Linked DNA regions of Xenopus tropicalis. The protein of the gene in region 2 purifies or fractionates together with the protein of the main gene of each other region. This does not show direct contact. Links are inferred from orthologs where the notes say so. Each region holds a gene or a part of one and is shown on either strand. Other genes may lie near its edges.

What was found.
Region 1: the proteins of xpo6 (region 2) and zmat2 purify together in Homo sapiens (co-immunoprecipitation; 3 studies listed by BioGRID and IntAct, with this or other methods). This does not show direct contact. The link is inferred for Xenopus tropicalis from reciprocal best matches to the Homo sapiens genes XPO6 and ZMAT2.

The regions. Positions count from the first base shown.
Region 1 is NC_030679.2:26,879,958-26,883,778, reverse strand, and holds part of zmat2 (zinc finger matrin-type protein 2), read right to left. Parts: intron 2,062-3,821; coding exon 1,916-2,061; intron 1-1,915. UniProt on the Homo sapiens protein: Involved in pre-mRNA splicing as a component of the spliceosome.
Region 2 is NC_030685.2:21,036,014-21,039,934, forward strand, and holds the end of xpo6 (exportin-6), read left to right. Parts: intron 1-676; coding exon 677-775; intron 776-1,157; coding exon 1,158-1,388; intron 1,389-2,799; coding exon 2,800-2,901; 3' UTR 2,902-3,436; downstream 3,437-3,921. UniProt on the Homo sapiens protein: Mediates the nuclear export of actin and profilin-actin complexes in somatic cells.

The DNA.
Region 1 (3,821 bases), on a different chromosome or scaffold from region 2:
TATTAGGACAGGGCCTGACTAGGAAGATAAGTAAGAAACAGTAACACTAAAACTGTAGCCTCACAGAGGAATAGTTTTTAAGCTGATGGGGTCAGTGACTGCCATTTGAAAGCTGAAAAGAGGCAGAAGAGAAAAGCAAATAATTAAAACCATGTGAAAAAAAAAATAATTGACGCTCAATTGCAAAGTTACTAGGAGATACCTTAAAGATGAACCACCCCTGTAAAGAGCCAGCAATCCATATAGGTGCCCACATGCATTTCTATGGCAGGGGTGAATACACTTTGAATAATGTTAGCTTTAACAATAAAACTTCCCCTTTGTACTTCTATCTACATTCATTTTGGGTGACCAATAGGCAAGATAAATGTCCATCCTGCTCTGCCTTGAAACCTGCCCTGAGTGAAAGTACTCATTTAAAAGGGAAGTTTGTCTTATTATGTATTGAAGTATATTTAAAGGGGACATATACCATCATTTTTCAGAGTGCTTTAATGGATGTTTTTTAATGTAAAATAGAAGGAATTGGCTTTTTTTGGGTACATTTCAAGTGAAATTTCATGAAATTGGCCAAAAACTGCTCTTGTTATGCTCCTATCCTGGACTTCCGGTTTAAGACTCTGTATAGTTTGCTAAAGAGCCGCCGGCTCTCACAGCTTCATTACTGAGGGCTTTGACTGTGAAGGGAGGGAGGTGCTTCTAGTGACGTCAGTTTGGCCGTTTGCAATCACCACGTACTTGCACATAGATCTGCACCGTTAATCAGCCACCTGCCAGCTACCTGCCCACCGCTGTGCCGTACCCTGCTCCCCCCTGAGAGACATTCCATCCTTCCCCCCCCTCCACCCTGCGAGCCGTTCCACCCTTCTCCCCCGTGAGAGCCACCCTGTCTGCTTCCCCTGAGAGCCGTTCGTAACTTTTGACAGCTGCCCCTGCGCTTCTTATAAGGAACGTTCGGCTCTGTGCTCCTTTCAGATAAAGAAGCACAGAGCCGAACGTCCCTTATAAGAAGCGCAGGGGCAGCTGTCAAAAGTTACGAACGGCTCTCAGGGGAAGCAGACAGGGTGGCTCTCGGGGGGGGGGGGGGGGAGGAGAAGGAGGCTCTCGGGGGGAAGCAAAACAGAAAGACTCTGGGGGGGGGGAGAAGGACAAAACGGCTGTCAGGGAAAGGAGGACACAATCAGCTGAGGGGGATGCAGGCAGGAGGACAAACTTCCTTTATTTATGTAAAAAAAAAAGGTTAATAGTTTGCAGGGAGTTTTATGCACAATTTATTGCCATCAGCTGTGATATAAAGGGCCCTCCAGCAGGCCCCCATGAATAAACCTCTTTCCTATAAAGAAAGTTATTATTTACCAGCTGGAGTGCCATCCAACTTTCATGCTTTCGTGTTATTCTCATTGAAAAAAAGGCCCGTCCTAACGGTCAGTGAAGCAAAACTAATACAGGGGCAGGACTTTCTGACTGTCACTCAGAAGTATGATCACTTCCTGAGGCAGCATGAGAGGACACGCCCAGTCCTCATTTCAGCTTAGACAGCAGAGGAGAAAGGATCTCTCTGCAGCTTTAGTATAATTACATTTTTAACAGGTAAAATGTTTTTAAAACCTTCTTTTATAGAAGCACTATACATTTTAGAGAAAGGGGAATATATTACCAAAAAATGAGTATGATGCAATATGTCTCCTTTAAAAATTAGAAAAGTCCAACATGAAAATAGTTGAAAATGCAATCTTCATTTTACATAGAGCACTGGGTGTGTAAAGAGCACCCATTTTTGTTGCCTGCAGAATACTGTAAGAGGATTAGGCCAGCAGCACAAGGGCTTCTTTACTCTCAGTGTCACTGATTGCATCTGCGCTCTGATGCTTCTAATTAAGACCTGCTTCTGGAATTCCAGGCTAAAGAGTCATACCTCTTCCCGAAGCTCTTTCATTCGCTCTTCAAAGTCGTAGTCCTTTTGCTTTTCTTCCATTTTCTTCTTATTAACTTCAAATCTCTTCTTGACTTGATCGAGTGTTGACCGCTCTACTCTCATTGACATTCCCAAGTTCCTTTGATCTGATATAAAGATCATTTTCAAATTAAAGTAAGAACTGCCATTTACAAGTTTTTTTATTGGTATTATTTAATATAGACTAGAAACATATCTCTATGTGAAGAACAGCACTGCGGGTTTGCACTGGCCTGTACAGTTTCCAGTGCTGCAGGCCAGTAGGATACATTGCACTATACACGGTTCTATAAGCAGCCATCGTTATGCCCTGTTCTCTCCTACCACAAAAGGCACAGCATTACACCAAGAACCAGAACGAAACAAACCAACCAGTCCTTTTCCACACATTCTATATTATCTATTCATTTTCTGTGCACGATCCTGGATTACACTCCCCTTCCATATGCAACATATCACAGAACCTACAGTGGCAGCAAAAAAGGGCCATCATAACAGTAACATAGAATCTATTGTTCTGGGTTCATGCTTACTGGCATCACACTGAATGGCAAGATTAAATGGGACAGAAACGGTTAAGCTGGCGATTTTCGATCTTTCGTGCAACCATTGGTCATTCAGGGCTGAATCGTCAGATTTGGAGGTAGAAACAATAGGATTTCTACCTCCTTCTGTCGATTCAGCCTAAAAAGGCAGATTTTGCTCAGGCGCCTTCAATGGCCCCCGATCAAAATCTTTTAACCCACCCGATCGACAAGTCGACCGATATCAGTAGCCTTCTGCAATATCTGTCGCCTCCCAAACTTGCCATACACGCACCGAATACCGTACAAAACGAGGTTTTGTACAAAATTATCAGTGCGTGTATGGCCAGCTTTAGATGACTGCAGTCTGCTTTATTCCCGCAAGCATCTCCAAAGAAGTTACTGTTCTAGCTTGTATCGTTAGCTATGCAGCAACTGGCCACAAGCTCACAGGGCTCCTATTGTGTTTAGATTCCCATTATGGGAAATGAGATGGGGACATTGCCCAACTGCAGAGTAGGTGCAATGACTTAATAGGGGATGTGGCCAGTTAAATTGTGCCAGAAATGGGTAGCAGACACAACAGAACCTTAACACTTCATATCAGCAACAATCGGCATTAGCCAAAACAGGCCCTGAATGTTGGAAACCTATTTGATATAAAGACTAGGTTTAAGGACTCCTGCTACCTGCTACTTCTATTGTGTCTGGTGCAGAAGTGTAGAATAATTCATCATAGCACGTTCCCTTTATTACACAGTAAAGCCTTTACTGTCAGTTATTCAATGCAGCTAAAACTTTACAACTAACTAAAGAGAATGCACTCAAATGAAAGCTAATTGATTAGCGAGGAGTCACCAGCGCCTGTTCTCACTGATAAAGAGCATCACATTTGTTTAAATATATAGCCTTCAAAGCAAAATGTCAAAATGTCTCTTTTCCTTGTACGTACGTCACCGCTTAACAATCAGCAGTTAATTACATGCGTAACACTAACACATGCCGGGGATTCAGCAGTTTTCAAAATTGTGATTTACTGAGCAATTACCTTCCTCAACAAAATTTTTTTATATATAGATCCACCTCTACACCCACGCTTAATAACGGGCTCTAAAGAAGACTGCGGCTATATTTTATGGAGGTATAGAGTACAACCTAACCTGAAATAATGGCTAAACTTTTAGTTTATGGAGGTATTATGAATTCCTGCAAAATAAATGTAAGATCTATTGATATGTAAAAACCATGTCATATATTAGGATATACATTATTTGCGGATTCATTTTTGTTCAAAACACACTGATACCCTTTACTAAGAATGTTTCAAATAAATCTACCAACAA
Region 2 (3,921 bases):
TACGTACAAGAGGCCTTACTGGGACAGACAATGCAGTGTAAAAGAAGTTGAAAGGGATTGTTTGAAATTAACTTTTAGTATGACATGGACATGCATGTTCTAAGACAATCTGCAATTGGTTTCCATATTTTATTCTTAATTTTTTTTTTTTAGTTATTTAGCTATTTGTTCAGAAGGTCTTCAGTTTGGAATTTCAGCAGCTATGTGGCTGCTGGGGTCTTGTTTACCTTGGCAACCAGTCAGTGGTTTGATGAGACACTGGAATATGTGATGGAGAGGTAATGAATAGAAAGGAATAAAAATAGGTTTTGGCTGCTGGGGTCAGTGACCCCCATTAGAAAGCTGTTGAAAGATACAGAAGAGAAATGCTAGGAGATGTAGAAGAGTTGCTAGGAAAAGGACATTCTATAACATACTAAAGGGTAACTTAAAGGTGAGCCACCCCTTTAAAACTGTGCAGAACTGTGCTTGGTACATAGGAATAGCTATGGTGGTTATTGATGGTCCTTACAGGACTTTAGGTGCAATGTGACTTTAGGACCGGCTGTTCAGGCATTTAATCTTGGAATAGACAAAACATTGAGATGGTACCTAAAGTCAAGGGGGCTTGTGTTTCAGAGGAGGTGGGGATAATATATACTGTGCCTTACTGATTGTCACTAATTCTTCTCCTCAGGCCTTTGGTCAGTCATTTCTTCAGCCAGACATACACATATTCAGGCAAAATCTCAGCTACCTGGAAACCCTCAACAGCAAACATAAACTGTACCATAAGGTAAGACCCATAATAACCTGATTGTTACACAAGATGTCAGTCTGTAAGCCTAGGTCTGTAAAATTGTACAGTATCATAACCAACGGATCTGGATCTTGGTCAAAATGTTAACAATGGTCCCAAACAGCCCCCACCAACCCAATAAATAGTAACTGTGTATGGCATCTTACAGCAGCCCCTCTGGCATTTGCCAGAACCCACAGATTGCCAGTCAGGGCCTAGTCAGAGTGATAGTGAGATGCTGGGTAATTAATTTTCATGAGCTTGTGAGCTTATGGTCTAGTCTACAGGATATATTCTTTCTCACAGTTTGCAACTCCACAAATCCCCTGTTCTCCTTTTGTGCTCTAATTCTCCATCCTTTCCTTAATTATTTTTTTAGAAACTGTTCCAGACTGTGATGCTGCCTCAGTTCGTCAGTGTTTTGCTGCAGGTTCTAATCCACAAGTCCCATGACCTCCTGCAGGAAGAGATTGGCATTGCCGTCTATAACATGGCATCGGTGGATTTTAGCACTTTCTTCTCTGCTTTCCTGCCAGAGTTTCTTACAGGCTGCCAAGGCCTGGACACCAGCCAAAAAGGCGTCCTCGCTCGCAACTTCAAAATGGAACGGGTGAGATGAACGTTTTATCATAGCATGCTTTATAGAGAGAGCTTTGAAATCCAAGCCTTAATAATGTACTCAAATCTTAGAATGTATTATGATGGCAGCTATGGCTTTGTATGGAGATTACTGAACCCTTTCTGCTACATTTAAGATGTAATAGCAGTGCCAAGCCCTTCAGAATCCCCTGGGCCGTCTTGGTGCACAAGCTGACTCTAGGGGAGACCCACCAGTCCTGATGCTATCCTAGAGGGCTTGCTAATTTTTACATTTCTCTCCAAATACAGCCATTTCCATACAAACAATATAGTAAATCTTCTGTTGAAAGGGAAGAGTTGTCTTCTGCTTTCTTTGAAGAGTTGAGTGTGCCCATCTAAAGTAGTAACCCAAGCTGCCCAGCCTTTTCAAGGCTTTTCTTTACATTGGCATCACCTCTAGCTTTTCTGTAGACCCAAGGACGGAGTATTTTCTTTCTAAAATATGTGAGGCAGCTTAGAGTTCTATGGTGCTTTCTTAGAACTTGACATGAGAAATCTGGAAATGAAGTTTGTCCTAGTGCAACTTGAATTGTCTTTTCCTTATGGGCAAGATCAGCCCACATCCCAAGCGGATGTTTGCAGATGGTAAGTACCTGCTTAACTAGAGAGAACTGTTTGTCTCCTTCAGACTAACTACTGGCTTAGGGATATTGGGAAGTTAGATTCACAAGGGATCAGGGGCCCTGGTCATTTTCTACTACCGTATATACTCGAGTATAAGCCGATCCGAATATAAGCAGAGGTACCTAATTTTACCTAAGAAAACTGGAAAAACTTAACTTGAGTATAAGCCTAGGGTGGGAAATGCAGCAGCTACTGCTAAGTTTCAATAATCAAGATAAATACCAGTAAAATTACATTAATTGAGGCATCAGTGGGGTATATGTTTTTAAATATTTATTTAAAAGAAAAACCGTAAACTAGCTCTGTAAGTGAAGAAGAGGGTCAACAAAAACAATGAGTACTATTCCACGCTCATTGCACATTGGCAAACTGGCAGCAGACCTGGTCCCGGAGGACATGTAAGGGGAAATAAGTATTGCGACTGGGAGTGGGCTAGGGCGCTGGAGGGTCTGGTTGCAGGGGGCCTAATTTGCACACAAAGGACAGAGGGTGCTGAAGGGAGTCTGGAGGGACCCATGGCACCCGACTCGAGTATAAGCAGAGGGTGACTTTTTCAGCACATTTTGGGTGCTGAAAAACTAGGCTTATACTCTAGTATATACAGTAATTTAATTAATTATTCCAAGTAGGGGTTGGTCAGCTCCATACAGAGCCATATGCTTTCTCTATAGATGTTTGTGCAAACAGGTCTTCTCTTTGTAAGGTGAACCTCCCCTTCCATTTCTCTCCTGACCCTTCTCTTCTCTCACCGTATGCAGGACCTGCCTTCGTTTACTCAGAGTGTCCACCGTTTAGTCAATGACCTCCGATACTACAGACTCTGCAACGACAGTCTCCCTCCTGGAACTGTAAAGCTGTGACCTCCCTCGCCCCTCGTTTTCCTGCCAATGGACAGACTTTATCCATCACGCTCTTCTCTCTCCACATTGATAGTCTTAACTCACCACTATACAGCTGTGAAACCCCCCCCTCACTCGCACCGATTTTATTGTAAGCGCGGGCAGTTTTAGTGCATCGTTGGACTTCAGTGCCTCTTTCTTGGCTCCCCCCGCTCTACCCCTAGGCTGCCAAATGGATCTCGTTCCTATGCCAGCTGAGGGTTAGGAAGGCTTCCATTTTTTGTTCTTTGAATATATATATATTTTTTAATTCATGCAAACGCTTCAACAAACCTTCAATATCATTCCCAGTTGTAGTGGAGAAGAAGGGTGGGGTCTGTATGTGACCCAAGTATGGACACTCGCGTGTCTTCGGCTTCTGGATTTTAACTGGCTGTACAGGCCAATTGCCACACACGGACGATATTATGTATTGTTTTATATTTTTTGTGTTTTTATCATTCCATTGTGAATCCGCGACATCTTTTCGCGAATAAAAAACCTTGCTTTGTTTAGAGCTGTGCTTGCCATATCATGCATCAGCCCCACCATGGGCAGTTAGTGGACCATCCAGATGTTGCCGAATATAAGCACTCCTCCAGGGCCTGCTAGATGTACATGCTTGTATTACTCGTTGTCCATCCTGACTTCATTGTGGGACTGGCTGGGAAATAATGGGGTGTTGCCAAATTGGCCCAGTTCTAATGCTCAGAGTGCACTGGATCTAGAGCAAGATATGTTTATAATTATGATGTTATTAAGTAAGAGGGGCACATAGACCAAATATAAAGGTAAACTTAAACCCAACATCATAATTATAAACATATCTTGCTGTAGATCCTGGAGAAGTTCCACTGCATCAGTGGTTAATGTCATGTGGGGCACTTGGCTGCCTCTGCCATCAGCCATCTACCTGCCACCAGGTGTTTTTTAACTTTTCCTGTGTTCCGCTGATGACTTTAATGGTGAAAATTACCCGTCTGACATTTGCCAGTGGGAAAC